4 linked regions of the Oryzias latipes genome follow. The protein of the gene in region 1 interacts with the protein of each later gene in a pairwise test. Links are inferred from orthologs where the notes say so. Each region holds a gene or a part of one and is shown on either strand. Other genes may lie near its edges.

Region 1 (3,500 bases):
AAATAAAAAAAATACATTTTTACCCAAAAGGTTTGGTAAAGACAAATCCAAAAGTCACTATTAGATGCACATGTTTTCATTTATTCTGTGACATTTTAAACTCTAACCTGATGGAGATTTTGATGGAACAGGACCATGAATTGCTAGAGATGCACTACGTATGCAGAATCTGCGTTATTGCTCATTTCAGTCAGATTCTGAAGAGTCAGAGGAGCTAGAGGAGGAAGATGACGAAGCATGTTTCCTCTTTTTTAATCTCTTCTTGTGATGCTTTCCATGCTCCTTTTTGGTCTTTTTGCTTTTCTTCTTGTGACCATCTTTCTTCTTCTTGCGCCTCTCTTCTTGGTCTGAAGCCGAATGGGATCTGCTGCGTTTCTTCCGCTTTTTGTGGGCGTCTTCTTCAGTTGAAGATGAACTAGATCTGGAGAGAGAGAGACAAAAAAAAAATGGATGGACTATCCCTTTAAATCAACACAACTAAACCTACCTCTGTTTCAATGTTTCAAAAGGGAGTAAAATCGTACAAAATGTAATCATAGTGAAAAATCAGCTTTTCATTAGTTTGGAAAGACTTATTTTATCGAGCAGATGGTGGAAACAGGGTTAATACCTCTGTGCTACCATTCCAGCTTGATTTACTAAAAGGTTTGTTTACAGAAAAACCTGGTGTGCAAACCAAATTGTTTCTGTTAAACAACAATAAGAGTACTGGTACCGGAATTTTGCACACGGTCGTTGATGCACATGTGATAACGATCACAGAACTGGGAGGTGTAGATACAAGAACAGTAACTTAGGACACGCAATAGAATTCATTAAACATGAGGCAGTAATTCAGCTGCTTTTGCGTCCATATTTTGCTCAACTGAGAGGCAGGTGGAAACTGACACGACTAAAGCAAAAATGCCTGTAGTCATTTCAATAAGACAAGTACCATTAAAAGAAAAATAAAGTACACAACGGCTTTGAAATAGAGCAGAAACTGTATTATCTAACTTCCAGCAATTTTACACAACAGTAAAGCAAAACCACAGAATGAAAACAAATTAAGAGGAGTTCAGTTCTCTATTGCATTAGATAAATGTTAAAAGACAAAGTAAATAAAAATCACCTTTTTCTTGACTTTCTGTCCTTGCTCTTCTTCCTTTTACGCCTCTTTTTTCTTTCATCATCATCATCGGAAGCTAAAGCACAAGAATCAAAGACCACATTGGATCAATTTTTCAATCACTCAAAAGCAGATCAATGATTCTGCTTTTATTGAATGCAAGGAAACTTATGGAATTTGTATTTAACTCTAAAAAATTACATACTTCACAAAAAAGAAAGAAGAGAATTCAGATCTGACCTTTCTGATGCTGACCCCTCCTTCCTAGCTTCTCTCTGCTGGGAGGAACAGGGATGTCGTCTTCACTCTCCTCTGTGCTGGTGCTGCTTACGTCCAGAACTATGTCTTTCTGGGGGTCAACTCGCACAAAGTTTCGACACTCGAATGTTAAATGACCCGCTGAGGAACAGAATTAGTGAGATTTGTTCATAAATGAAGATATTTATATTGCTGAAATGTTAAAACTATACAGTATTAATTAAATTAATACTAATATCTAAAAAAAGCCCCAAAATGTTTTTTAATCTGCCGCTGTAACTACACATTACAAAGCATTGCATTTTCTGAAAAATATATAATTAGGTCAAAGCTGTTTGACTGTCTCTAACAAAAAAACAACAACAACTATAGCCCTTTAACAGCCATAGCAAACAGAAATCACAATTACTTTAAGACAAAATTATTGATATAAAAAAGAAGATTACTAAAATTATTCTGCAACAGCAGCAACCCACGTTATATACCTATAGATATGTCAATGTATGTTTGGCACTAATTTTGCATTGTGTGCAAAACAAGTATATATTGAATTATTAAGCTAAACTAAATTAAACTAAACTAAAATGTGCATAACAGATAAACTGATAACACTAAATCTAAAACCCATAGCGAAAAATAAACAAATACTAACCGTATCCACACTTTTTACATCCAGCCCTGATATTGTCCTTATTTGGTCCTAGAATATAACATAAAGACGCATGTTTCAACAAAATATGATGTTAAATATATACTGAGATCGAAGTAGGATTATTATTAGAGACCAGTAAAGTTATAAATTTAAAAAAAAGAAAAGTAGGTATGGTGGCACACTCGGCGCTTAAGCTATTACAGCTTTATAGTTTTAACACTTTTTAACTGTACGCCTGGTCTTTGTTTGTATATATATAAACAAAACAAAAAAATACAGTAAATTGGAATTTTTCATGGATACATTGCAGTTTACATTTGTAGCTAGTAAAGAGCCGGCGTTGATGTATTTCTTCACCAACAAACCTGAATAACAAACATAAAATGTCAAACCTGGCACAGCCATTGATCTTCACACGACGAAAAAAGTACAAAAAATTAAAAAATAAGTTCAGCGCGAGCCAAAACAGTCCTGGAGGAAAATATCGTCGTCCGGAAACATTTGTTCTGGAAATTACTGCGTTCCACCTTATCTTGTTCTTGTGTCCTCAGTCACAGACCAGCGGCTCGGTGTCGCCCCCACGTGGATGGAAGTTGTATTTGAACAAATTCCTCTGTATGATGTTTTTCAAGCTTTTCCTCTTTCAAACATCAATAAACAGGAAAAACCTAACTGGGATGAATCTGTATTCTTTGCTTCCTATACATTTAAAAGTAAATACATCAACCAGGAACAGAATACTGCTTAATTAAAACAAAAAATATATATACACATTAAAACAATTGAAAACTTGATGCTTAATTTGAGTTCACCACTTTACTTTTTTAAAACCAAAAAGTATTTCTGTATCATTTCAGACCTTCCTGATCACTTTAAATGGCAAACGTATAGTTGCAGGGATTAATTGAAGACATTCCGGGTTAGAGTCACGGATGGAAATTGTAGACAGATGTGAGGCCTCCAGACATGCTGTCATTTGTCTGTGGCTGCGGTACAAGATCACTGACGCACACCATTTCCAGCTTTTGATTACACTGTATGGCTCAGGAACTGCCAGAATAAGTGCAACATTTTTCTGCATTGAAACTATTAGGGCTGCACAATCGAATCGTTCTTATAACAGATAGGCCCCATGACTGAAGAGGACGGAGGAGACTTAAACCTTAAACAAAGCTTTGATCTTGTGCTTATCACATTGCTTAGCTCATATTAGAACAGAAATTTGTAAAAATAAATAAATAAAGCATTCAAATTTAATCACAATAGTCAAAACAAACTAAATTAAAAATCAAAATAGTATGACGAAGTTACATCTAATAATACTACCGTACTCTCTTTAAGAACATCTTACATTTACTTTATCTTTGAAAAAACTTTCTCCTATTTTACTTACATTTTGACTAAAGTTCAAGCAACATTTGGTTTACTTTGTCTTTAAATTATATTACATTTTATTGATTCTAGATCTTTTTTTTCCAAGAC
Region 2 (3,998 bases), on another chromosome or scaffold:
GTCCAGCACCCGGTGGCCCCAATGGCGGCCGTCTGATGTGCCTGTCCTGTGGCCTTGGGGCCCAAACGGTGGGCTAACCTGTGCTCCGCAGTGATGGAAGGGCCCCCTAGGGTGTCCTTAGGACGGTCCCCTCCATTTGGGCCTTGGGGCCCAAACGGCGGGCTATCCTGTGCTCCGCAGTGATGGAAGGGCCCCCTAGGAGGGTCCCCTCCATTTGGGCCTTGGGCCCAAACGGCGGGCTATCCTGTGCTCCGCAGTGATGGAAGGGCCCCCTATGAGGGTCCCCTCCATTTGGGCCTTGGGGCCCAAACGGCGGGCTATCCTGTGCTCCGCAGTGATGGAAGGGCCCCCTAGGAGGGTCCCCTCCATTTGGGCCTTGGGCCCAAACGGCGGGCTATCCTGTGCTCCGCAGTGATGGAAGGGCCCCCTAGGAGGGTCCCCTCCATTTGGGCCTTGGGGCCCAAACGGCGGTCTCCTGCACCTTCTCTCTTGGTCCTACCGGTCATGCTGGGGAGGATCTGGTCCCCCTAATGATCACATGGTACACTTTGGCAGCGTGCTTGCATCTCCCCCCCCCCCCCCCCCCCCCCCCGGTGTGCATGTGCACGTGCACACTTATCCCTGTCTGCTTTATCCCTCCTCCTAACCCACAGATGGACAGATATCTTCCACTTATCTTGGTGTCAGATTTTCACTTTTGGATGTAACATTTGTCTTTCCAGCAGAAATAAAATATATATTTAAAACATAAAATATAATAAATAAATAACAAACAATTAAAATAAAAACCTAAAAGGGGTTTATACAGATATACACCTTGGCTGTCAGAAGATCCATAATAGTCAAATCTGTCCAACTCAAAAGGCTTTCAGCTCTTGTATGTTAGCTCGGTTGTTGGACAGGACAAGTTAAAATAAAAACACCACGTTTTTCGGGTCTAAAGTTATTTCTGGGCCTCTACCTTTTTATTTTATTTTTTAAAGGAGAAATAAAGACAGGCTGACTTAACAAATTTTAAAGGAACTTCAGAAATGTTTCCTCTTTTTATCTAAATTCTCACGAAACTGTCAGTTAAAAGGAGAAGTAATATATTCGAAAGCAAATTCCTTTCAGATTTTTAAAAAAAAAAATGTTTTTAATAGGATTGAAGAATTTCAGAGTTTCCAGTCTTCCCAGCGGCGCTTGAATGCAGCATAGTTTCTTTTTCGGTGCAGACGCAGACCTTTGCCCAGTCGCGGTGTTTCTGTGAGTCTCCCGCAGAGCACAGACCCGCCGCTCGCCTCTCCTGCTGCAGGACGCTGCGGGACGCACCGGCTCGCGGCTTTGCGGCGCTTCCGTGCACATCCGTGCAGGAAAAGCGCAAACACCATGTCCTTCCGCTACCTCGGCAAAGTTGTTATTGTGACTGGAGGGTCTAGAGGAATCGGCAGAGGGATTACCGAGGCCTTTGGTATTGGATCTGTCCACATTTCCAAATGGGTTGCAGGTTCAAGTCCAGTTCCCTGAAAGTCTGTTTGTTTTTCAGTGAGAAATGGAGCCAAAGTGGTGTTTTGTGCATTAGGAGGTCAGCAAAGAGACAGTCTTTCCCTTTTCTTGTACATTATCAAATTAGGCCTATTTGAAGTGTCTTAATTGTGTCACTATTGCAGAAGGTGACACTGTTGAGGCAGAACTGAACAGAACCGGACCAGGATCCTGCAAGTTTGTGAGATGTGATGTCACCAAGGAAGAGGACATCAAGGTGAAGTTCTGGGTTATTACAAGAATCCATCCAACCAGACTGGCGTTTTCTGTCATCCAGTCTGACGAGGGGCTTGTTTCCCACCCACCTCCACAGAGGCTGATCTCCTCCACCGTGGAGCTGCATGGACACATCGACTGCTTGGTCAACAACGCAGGCTGGCGTGAGTCTGCTCAAACCTCTCTGGCCTCCTGCAGACGTGTTGAAGACATTTTTGGAGACCTTTAGGTTGCTGTTTTGTTTGTTTGTTGTGATTTTCAGACCCTCCGCACAAATCCATCGATGACACCACAGCTGAGGAATTCAGAGATCTGCTCAACCTGAACCTCGTCAGCTACTTCCTGGCTTCCAAAGTAAACTTTTCTATGATTAGAAGAACATTTTATTTTACATTAGTTTCAATTATTTTGAATAAAACTGCAAAATCACTATAAAAAGAGCCTTTAGTAGTAAAAATATGAAAACATTGGTTCACAGTTTTCTTTTTGTGTTAGTTTTTAGTACCAAAGATGCTTTATGAGGACAACATTTTGTTTTAAGGATTTTCTTTTTAATTGTAGTGTATGAATGTCCAAAATAGAAAATGAACTTTTCCTAATAAGAACCCTACACTCTAAAAAAGAAATAAGTTTATCTAACTTAATTAAATCACATCATCCTCTCAACTCTAACTCATGGTGCAGAAAGAAAGAAACACAACAGTTTAAATTAAAACAGCTAGACAACAAAACACATGGACTCACACTTAAACCCCAATCTGCCTAGATAGGCAAAGAAAATGGTATCCCACAATTCTTTATCATGATGTCTTGACGCATTGACAGCTTCACACCGAAGTTACACCAACTTAATCAAATTAAGTTGATTAAAAGTAAAATAACAATGTCATTTTTAAGTTTAATGAACTCAAAAAACGATTTATTTTCACCAAACTGAATAATTAAATTAGATCAATGTGAAAAAGTTAATATTTCCAACTACAGCCCAAATACTTTTTTTAGAGTGTAACAAGAACCCTAATCAGAACACAGTTAGGACTGTTCTAACATCTTGTGTCCTTGTGTGTCTCCCTCCAGTTTGCGTTGCCATATCTGCGGCAGCGTCAGGGAAACATCATTAATATTTCCAGTCTCGTGGGCTCTATTGGTCAGAAAGATGCAGTGCCATATGTTGCCACGAAAGTGAGTGAATTTGGAAGGATGTTCTTAAGGCAGTCAGGCGGCTCCTGTAATGCGCTACTTTCTCCACTAGGGGGCGATCATCTCCATGACGAAGGCGATGGCTGTGGATGAGAGCCAATACCACGTGAGAGTGAACTGGTGAGGCATCCCAACTTCTCCACGCCTTACTTTAAGCTGAAGAATAAATTACTCAGTTGTGACCACATTGATAACTGATGTACATTAAGGCAGTAAAACCATCCCTTTGTGGTTTAGTAAGAACATTTATGCACTTTTTTAAATATTTTAATGCTACTTTTCAGATATTAATTGAAGAAAGAACAAAATATTAGTATATATGTATTTGTTTTTCTTAAGTAACTATGAATGTTTTCTTTATGGACTTCCATCTCTTGATACTAAATTTAAATCTTAATGTATGTGCCATAATATGTCCTTTGTTACTTCCTCTGGCTGTAACTCCCTAACATGTATTTATTTATTTATTGCACGCTTTGGAACTTCCATCCTCCCCTCTTTTTTTTATTGTACTCATTTTTTTACGTTCATCCAGACCTGAACTACAAACTACAAACAAAACGAAGCTGGACCAAGAATGAATGTACATTTTATTTGAGGAGAGAGGAAAAAATGTATGTTAAAGTGCAGGTACACTGCAGTCACAGAAGCTCCTAGTTTTTGTGAGCTTTTTCTAGTTGTGTTAAAAAACAGAACATTAAAAGCCTCATTTCTAATGCGGCAAACTAACAAACATTTAATTATATAAATTAAAAATTGTATCACATTAATCTGTGTTAAACATAGTTTCTGCAGAGCAGCAGGATTAAAAAAAAAATCTGCTCCTGATTCACAACAATATGAAAAAAGAAATATATAGAAGTTAAATTTAAAGCTTGTTTTTTTAAATCCTCAGAAAAAGATGTCAATAACATGTTGAAAACACCCAAAACTCTATTATCATCTAAGTGGGTCTTAAAGGATATTTACTAAAAGAAAGAAAACTGCTTTTATTTTGACATCTGTCGGTCTTTTCTGCCCTGCTAACACCTTTGTGTGATGTGGGACAGCATCTCTCC
Region 3 (4,073 bases), on another chromosome or scaffold:
GAATTATTCTGATCCAAATCTAGGCCCATCAATCCTCCCTGTGATTATTTCCAGGATTAAATGAATAAACTCCAGGCTAGTCTTAAAAGCAAATAACTATAAAAAGAGCCAAATCAGCCAATCTTTTGAACGTCCCTTCCAAGTGAACTGATTCAAAAGATTCAGCTCCCTAAAAAGAGCCATAAATCCCAAATGTGAGGTAGAGAAAATTTTCCTTAAAAAAAGTGTGTGTGTGTGTGTGTGGGTGTGTGTGTGTGTGTGTGGGGGGGGGGTTGATTGAACAGCGGAAGAAAAAGGTGGGTTTGTGGCGAGTACTTGAAAGTCATTTAGGAAGAACGCTGTACTTCAAAGTCCTTATTTGTGATTTTGCATATGAGAAGGCTCGACATTTGGCTTTGAGTAAACAAAGTTGAGCAAGTTAAAAGGTTTGAAAAAGAAGCTTGACTTACTAATTTGCTATTCATTCACGAGTTAAGTTTTATTTAAATGATAAATCACATATGGTTTGATGGTGCTTTCATTTAGCTGACTTTTTTTTAATCTCCACTGATAATATTGTTTTTTTCATGAAGAAGTTTATTTCTTATTTAAGAATCAGTTTTGCTGTGAATATATGAAACACAAGAAATTCTATTGTATTCGGAGTTCTCACTTCATAACTGTCTCTCACCAAATTGTTTTACTAAATATATAAAAACAAACAAAAAAACAAACAAACAAAAAGATCATGAAAATTGTGTAAACCTGATAAAAGTGAATTCAGTTTGGCTGATACAGTCTTGTTATTATATCATGGGCACAATGACTCATTGTTGTGTTTTGATGACCAAATGGAAAGCAGACAGTAATGGAAAAAAATAACTGCCAGTTATTTGTGGCATAGTGGTACAATTTCATACAAGTTTTATTTAAAAATTTGGTTAATACTGAATTTAAAAAGGGGTTTGGTTATTGTATTTCATTAATAGCACGATATTTTATTATTAGGTCTATAAAACTCATTTTGATGCAAAATTATGAAAGTCCGTCTGTAAATACTGTTTTGTTCAATAAAAAATCCTGCTATGAGCTTGAGCAAAAGTTAATTGTTAAACTTTTCTTTAAATAAAAAGAATTACAGTGGATCCATGATGTAATGGACATTTTCAGATAAAATCATTTCCATTATGGTCGTATTTCCTTTGGACACACCCTGTGGTGACAAACTCCGTCTTTTGTGATTGTGACATTGAAAGTATTAAATGAGCTTTCAACGTGGGCACAATACTGTGCATTCTTGATCGGAGGTGGGCGTGGCTTCCAGGCGCAGTCTCAGTTAACTGCAGAGCTCAACGCGGAAGACAACAAGAAGCTCCGGGTTTCTAAGTGACGTCGAACAAGCAGAGGCAAGTTACTCAGGTAAGCTTTTGGAACCTGGCATTTTGTTATAGGCAGTGCGACAGATGTTGACAGTAGATAATTCGGAAATATCTCGTGTTTTAAATGCAGGATATTCGGTAAGAGGCCGAACTTTGCGTGAATTTCTTAGCCGAAGAAAAATTCCTCGAGGGGTTCGTTTTGCGACATCTAGGCCTGCTTTGTGGCAGGCGGAGAAATAATGCAGGTCCAGTGTAGATTTAATAGATGTATTAAAATGGACTTAAAATAAACAAATAACTGCGTCAAGATACTTTAAACATCAATGTTAGCTGTTTTACTTTCTTTTTGTTGTTTTGTGTGTCAGTGATGTTTAGATTTCAGTTTTTATAGACTTTTGGGCAACTTCTCAAGCTTGTTTAATGATCTCATTCTACCAATCTTGTGTTGTGGTTAAATAATTCTATTATTTGTGTTTATTTCTTCCATTGATGTAAAATATAAGATTGCAGTCTTATCATCATGGCTTTCAGAGATTTGCTCAGTTGAGCTCCCACTATTCACTTGTCCAACAGCTGTAGATTACCCTTTATTTCCCAACTGTTACGTTTAACACAAACTGGTTTTTGAAAGATAAAAATATGAAGAATTTCTTGTTGAAAATTGTTGGTTCCCTGGATTCGAACATACAGATCATGTTTCCACACTGAGGTGTGTCCGACCTGAGGTGTGTCAAAATCACATGATGCAAATGTTGACGTTTTTTGTTTGTTTTACAGATGACTATTTTATGTGAGAACCAAACTGTCAAGAAAACAAAACAAAACCCTGCTGAATATAAACTATATCTAATCCCCACACACAAATCTGTGAAGAATCAATGGATCAAAAAATTTGGAGTTTTATTGCATATATAATAAGAAAATATATAATGAGATACTTAAAATATGATTCATATTATTACATTTCTATTCTTCCTCACTTTCATGTACATCCTAAAAGGTAATTTACAAATGTGTGTCAATTATTCTGGTTTTAAAACAAAATGCTGCAATCACATGTGACGTTTTGAGGGGGGGGGGGGGGGGGGGTCCCTCCACAACAAGTAGCATTTCCCTTGGTCTCCAACTGCGGTGCCGTTGGCTCTGTTGCAAATTTTTGTCAAAAACCGAGCTAAAATGAACTTCTCAAGACTTGTTTCTATTGTTCAAAAGATGTTGTTAAATGTAATTTATAGAATATTCAACTGTTTTTAACGGTAGGTTGGACTTGATTGAACAAAAGTAACTAAACTGAAATGGGAAATTATTTACTTCTAGGTTTTAGTTTTAATTTTTATATGATTGTAATGTTGACTTACTGCCCTTTTTAATCATATTTTTATATTGATTTTCCTTTCTGCTTGTTTGTCAGGATTCTATTGTGACACCTGATGTGTGTTTGTCATTAGGCTCTACACCAAAACCATGTGGCCAAATCAAGGTGGGATATCAAAATTCTTTATAAATGTTTGTATTACCTAATGCAATGTCAGCCACAAAATGCTTTATTTTGGATCAGGTCCTCCCCATTCAGTGCCTCCACCAAACCCAGCCTTTGCCCCTGGCTACAACCCTGCATATCCTCCTGTGCCTCCAGCAGGAGTCTTTCCTCCACAACCAGTATACCCAGCTGGTCAGTACCCAGCTGGTCAGTACCCAGCTGGTCAGTACCCAGCTGGTCAGTACCCAGCTGGTCAGTACCCAGCTGGTCAGTACCCAGCTGGTGGGAATGTCGCCATGGGACCACATGGAGCTCCAGGAATGATGCCATATGGAGCACCTGGAGCTCACCCGTATCCCATGGCTCCAGGTGGAGTTCCAGGAGTCCCACATGCTGGTGTTCATCCAGGTCACTACCCACACTCTCCAAAAGGGGGGCACCACAAAGGGGGGCACCACAAAGGGCATCATCATGGAGGAGCCATGCCAATGGGTGGAGTAGTAGCGGGTGGGGTTGCAGGAATGGGAATTGGGCTGGTTGGACATAAAGCCAATAAGAAGATGAAGAAAAAGATGAAGAAGGCTCATAAACAAAAGCATGGACACAAACATGGCAAGGTGAGGTTGTGCTTGGGTGAAAGAATGCTAGTTAATGTTTGTCTTGTATGGCGCTTCATCTCTGCCATAAAGTGAAAGGGCGTAAAGACAACTGAGCGGGTGTATTCGGAAACTGAGTGAGCAAACCTTACAACCGCGCGGGCGCAATTCTAACCGAGCGACTCCGTATTTTAAAACTGCACGCCTGCAATCCTAAATGAGCGGTGATCCCTCGCGGTCAATTTTCCTTTGCGCCCCTGCTTGGATTTACACGCTCAGTGTTAAGGCCTGTTCACACCGGGACGAATTTCGCCGGCGATTTTCGCCGACGTTTAACGCCTCGTGACTAAACAAAGGGCACCAACGAGAGTGTGCACACCGACGCGAAAAAACGCCACGCGTTAAAGCGTCAAAAAAAAAAAACGCCTTGGGTTCGTTTTTTTTTTCGACGCGTCGCGTCGAAATCTACTCGACCAATGAGAATGGCGCTTTTGCTCACGTGTCTGGAGCTTCTGAAGTTACAGTAAAACACAACTTGGGGGCGCTCAAACACAAAACTGCCTTGCTGAGCACACATACCAGCGAAGAAGATAGACGCCAAGTAGCGTCTACACAGCCGCGAAGCAATAATGACGGACA
Region 4 (4,214 bases), on another chromosome or scaffold:
ACGTGTGTGGCAAACAAACACTGAAATATTTTACACTGATGACACGGCAGCTAGCGTGAAAGCTAATAGCCGGGCTAGCAGGCTAAGACTACTTTGTAGTATGTTGTCGTGACAGCTGTCAGGCGCACAAAACACTCTGATGCAAAAACTCTTGTATTAGCAACGGTTACAAGAGGCATCCCGTGCAAAACATTGTCTCGAAATAAACACAACAACTTTCCTATTCGAATTACTATGATTCACTTACTTACAGATATCCGTTAGAGGAGGTAGCCACAACAAACAACAAATGCTGATTAACCTTTTTTGCATTAAGCTCCGTGTTGGCTAAGTTTTGAAGTCTCCGCTTTTGGATCGCGGGTGAATCAAGTTAGCTAGTTAGCAAGGCGACTAGCCAGTGAATGTTTTGAAAATGGTTGGTACTTTCAACAATTAAGCGAGACTTTAACCATTACATAATCTAATTCACGAATTAGCGATGTTAACCAGCTATCAAGATTTACGCAACGTCTGACCGTCAGGTTTAAAAACAAAGAGCAGTAGCGCTTCATTTCACTGCGCTTGAGTTCCTGGGTAACCGCTACGAGCTATGCTAGTTAGCAAAGCTAAAGGACTGAAATTTACTTGGTTCTGGAGAGTCCCAGCAAAACCGAGGGATGTCCCGCTCCCCGTCCACAACGATCCGGCCGTTGCTTTTAGTCTCCGTTCTGCTGAACCGTGTGGAATTCACATTCAATTCAACAACCATAACGACCTATGTGATCCCAAATTCACATTTGCTCCTTGTGTTTTTTTTCTTTCCCTTTTTCTTACAAATTCCAAGCAAAAGAAAAAAGAAAAAAAAATAATAATGGAGTTTTCTTTTGGGCATGCGCACTCAGCGCGTCAGGAATATTGTACCCAAAATGCAACGGGACCTTTGTAACGCTTGTCTAGCGCAGGTTGGAGCGTCCTGACAGAGGACACTGCATATATATCTATATATCCATTTATATCTATATCTATATAGATATATATGCATCTACATATCTATATATCTAGATATATAGAGATATAGATATGTAGAGAGATTTTAAACTTTAAAACCAAGTCCAGATGACATCCCCTAAACCTACTACAATGGAACCAACCTGGATGAATGAGAGTCTTCATAGACATACATATAGAGATATGTATATAGATAGATATAGATATAAAGATCTATATCTATCTATATACATAGATAGATAGATAGATAGATAGATAGATAGATAGATAGATAGATAGATAGATAGATAGATAGATAGATAGGGGGGAGTGTGTGTATCCCCTTTTCCTCCCGACTCAGGCTTAGTGAGAGATACTCAGCTGTTGCAAACTGTCAAGTTCACTCAGTAATGCCAAGCCTGCCATGCACAAAAATACACACACTTGGGCATCCATAAATAGTTAGATCTTTCCAGTCCCTTTACACTATTTTGTATATTGGCATATGTAAATATATATTACTTTAGTGAGGTTACATTCAAAGTGTAAAATCCTCTGAAGCGAATATCAAGAAACCACAAATAGGGGACCAAAGGCCAAAAGGCCTGAACTGACAGGACATTTTGGGCGGCTGCTTTGTTGGAGTCAGTAGCACAGATCGTACGCCACACCAGTCATCGTCTTTTGCTCAAGACCCACCATAGAGTTTTGACAATATACTGGATTTGTAACTTCCTCCGTGGTCTTTCACTTAAGGTAGGCTACCATTGCATATATAAACAATGCCTGTTAATAACCATTTCTGTTTCTGTTCTGTAAGTAGATTAAATTTGTTAAGTGAATTGTTCACCACTCTTAAAATCTGTGTGGTTTATTTAAAACAATTTTGTTCAAGATGATAGCTTGGATTTCGTTACGTTTTTTTTCCTGACTAGAAAAAAATCCAAAATTTAGCAATTATGAGATTTCAAAACCCAAAAAGAGTTTGGGTAAAGCTGTAGGTGACAATTTGCAAAATCCAAGTTACACTGTCAAACACAAAATAATGAAGCATATTTGTTTTGTTTTGTTTTTTTACAAAAAATTTCTTTCTGTATTTGATATTTCAACTTTTGCTGTGTGAAATTGTAGGTTGGTTAATATAAACATGCGAAAGTAAATCTGTGGCTAAATACATTTTACATTGGCATTTGTCTATTTTTAAACACTGGCAGTCATAAAATCCTAAACATAGAAACGTAAGGGAGTGATTATATGAACTCTCACAATTAAAAAAGAAAAGAGGTCCTTTCAGATGTACATAAAATATAATATTTTATAAACCAAAGTTTTTATTTTATTGAAATCATTTAGAAATTCTAAATTTTAAGTCAATCAACCCCATGTCAAACGTTGTTCCATTATTTCTAGGTTGGAAAGTGTTGACTTTGTCTGCATTGCATCATGGATCAGTGAGTACAGATCCACTCATCATTTGTTCCGTCAGTGTCAAAATGTTATAAGCTTGTTAGTTATCAATTAACTTAAAACTCAACTTGATAAGTGATACTATTAGAGATCTTTTTTGCAATGAGGTCAAAGTCTACCTATTAATTTCTATAAAATAATTAACTGAAGTTATTTTATAAAATTGTATCGTTTAAGACGAGTGTCTTTTGTAACTTGGAGTAGATTTTTCTTCTGATTACATGGTTTCCATGATGCTTGTTTTTTTTTCCCTAGTCTGTCATGGTAAAATAAGTTCAGTAAGTTCTCCTTTAGTGTCATTGCTGAATAAACATGCACCAGTAGTAAACCTTTGAGTTTTATTTATTAATTCCAAAATTGTGTTTTTTTCCCAATCCGTGGCTTCGGCAGCTTATAGTTTTTTCCACGTTTATTTATCTCAGGGAGGATGACAAAAACTCTGTGGATATTCATGACAATCCTCCAGTCCCTGACAATGTAGTGAGGGAGGAGGGAGACACAGTGAGTGACAGCACCATGCCAACCACCCACCATTAGGGCCATTCCCAGGATGTTTAAAATAGCCACCAGTTGGAACAAGGCTGCAGTCCACTGTCAATTCTGAAAATATGACCTCAGATTTAGATTTCCCTGAAGATAGTTTTATACATGTAGTCTAGACAGTTTGTTTCATTGCCAAAACTCTGACTCATACAAATCGAGATTCTTTATGAACACCACCCTTAACATGTTTCACATTTTCTGCCTAAGCTGTTTCTGCTATTTCTCAAGGTCTACTTCATATATGAAGAGGAAGTTGAAGTGGAGGAAAAGGAACCAGAACCTCCCCCGGAACCCATTCTTCGGATCAATGACAAACCCCACAAATTCAAGGATCACTACTGCAAGAAACCTAAGTTCTGCGATGTCTGTGCTCGCATGATAGTCTGTATGTGCTCACCAGGATACGCAAATACACAACCAGTCCTGTTAAATTTCCCAAAGAAATGTGTTTAGATTGACTTTTCATAGTGATGCTATTTTCTACATCAAAATGATGTGTGACTTTTACTGTTTTTCATTTGCACATCTTGCAGTGAACAACAAGTTTTGTCTGAGGTGTAAAAACTGCAAAACCAATATCCACCATTCATGCCAATCCTATGTCGAGTTCCAGAAGTGTTTTGGCAAAATTGTGAGTTTTATTCATCATAAAAAATGTTATATTTTACACTGATATCAAAGAATATGCAGTCAAATAGATAGACAGTCAATAAAATCTGTGCAAACTCAGATTATTGTGTTTTATAATTCAAAGGCTATAAACTCTTATGAATATTTTATTTTTTATTTTTGTGTTTCTAGCCACCTGGATTTAGAAGAGCTTACAGCTCCCCTTTGTATGGCAGTGACCAACCCGATCCAAGTGAGTCCAGAAAAGTTAGCTCAAAATAGACATGATTATCATAATCACTATTTTGAAAAAAAGAAAGTTACTTGTGTTGGAAAATTGCTGTAGCTGATTCAACAATATAATTGAAATAAAGAAAAATTACACCAGTTTGTACAGAAAATCTCCTTTTGGCTTAGCATAAAAATTAGATTACATCTTCAAAGGTGACATCTAACCTGGACTGTAGGCTTCTGCATTACTAGTCTTTTTAAATATTACTATCAAGCAGTCAAAATTAAATAGATAAATTATTGATTCAGCTCAATAATTTTGCATTCCACCAGATAATCCAAACCGGAATGACCCCGTCTTTGACACCCTGAGAGTGGGCGTCATAATGGCAAACAAG

The links.
Region 2: the proteins of srek1ip1 (region 1) and hsd17b14 interact in binary tests that used the Homo sapiens proteins (3 or more experiments, as listed by UniProt). The two-hybrid records come from large-scale screens. The link is inferred for Oryzias latipes from reciprocal best matches to the Homo sapiens genes SREK1IP1 and HSD17B14.
Region 3: the proteins of srek1ip1 (region 1) and prr13 interact in binary tests that used the Homo sapiens proteins (3 or more experiments, as listed by UniProt). The link is inferred for Oryzias latipes from reciprocal best matches to the Homo sapiens genes SREK1IP1 and PRR13.
Region 4: the proteins of srek1ip1 (region 1) and stac3 interact in binary tests that used the Homo sapiens proteins (3 or more experiments, as listed by UniProt). The two-hybrid records come from large-scale screens. The link is inferred for Oryzias latipes from reciprocal best matches to the Homo sapiens genes SREK1IP1 and STAC3.

What each region holds. Positions count from the first base shown.
Region 1 is NC_019862.2:11,630,851-11,634,350, reverse strand, and holds part of srek1ip1 (protein SREK1IP1), read right to left. Parts: intron 2,582-3,500; exon of another isoform or gene 2,424-2,581; coding exon of another isoform or gene 2,411-2,423; intron 2,067-2,410; coding exon 2,019-2,066; intron 1,508-2,018; coding exon 1,349-1,507; intron 1,185-1,348; coding exon 1,112-1,184; intron 422-1,111; coding exon 187-421; 3' UTR 1-186. UniProt on the Homo sapiens protein: Possible splicing regulator involved in the control of cellular survival.
Region 2 is NC_019866.2:3,307,114-3,311,111, reverse strand, and holds the start of hsd17b14 (17-beta-hydroxysteroid dehydrogenase 14), read left to right. Parts: upstream 1-1,198; 5' UTR 1,199-1,368; coding exon 1,369-1,450; intron 1,451-1,525; coding exon 1,526-1,564; intron 1,565-1,649; coding exon 1,650-1,741; intron 1,742-1,837; coding exon 1,838-1,904; intron 1,905-2,002; coding exon 2,003-2,094; intron 2,095-2,817; coding exon 2,818-2,922; intron 2,923-2,992; coding exon 2,993-3,060; intron 3,061-3,989; coding exon 3,990-3,998. UniProt on the Homo sapiens protein: Catalyzes the NAD(+)-dependent oxidation of L-fucose, yielding L-fucono-1,5-lactone, which rapidly converts spontaneously to L-fucone-1,4-lactone. Can also act on D-arabinose and L-galactose, with lower catalytic efficiency. Does not use NADPH.
Region 3 is NC_019863.2:10,423,632-10,427,704, reverse strand, and holds the start of prr13 (proline-rich protein 13), read left to right. Parts: upstream 1-1,273; 5' UTR 1,274-1,398; intron 1,399-2,769; 5' UTR 2,770-2,822; coding exon 2,823-2,838; intron 2,839-2,916; coding exon 2,917-3,455; intron 3,456-4,073. UniProt on the Homo sapiens protein: Negatively regulates TSP1 expression at the level of transcription. This down-regulation was shown to reduce taxane-induced apoptosis.
Region 4 is NC_019865.2:7,551,761-7,555,974, reverse strand, and holds the start of stac3 (SH3 and cysteine-rich domain-containing protein 3), read left to right. Parts: upstream 1-1,414; 5' UTR 1,415-1,722; intron 1,723-2,376; 5' UTR 2,377-2,409; coding exon 2,410-2,417; intron 2,418-2,855; coding exon 2,856-2,934; intron 2,935-3,204; coding exon 3,205-3,361; intron 3,362-3,509; coding exon 3,510-3,607; intron 3,608-3,777; coding exon 3,778-3,838; intron 3,839-4,149; coding exon 4,150-4,214. UniProt on the Homo sapiens protein: Required for normal excitation-contraction coupling in skeletal muscle and for normal muscle contraction in response to membrane depolarization. Required for normal Ca(2+) release from the sarcplasmic reticulum, which ultimately leads to muscle contraction.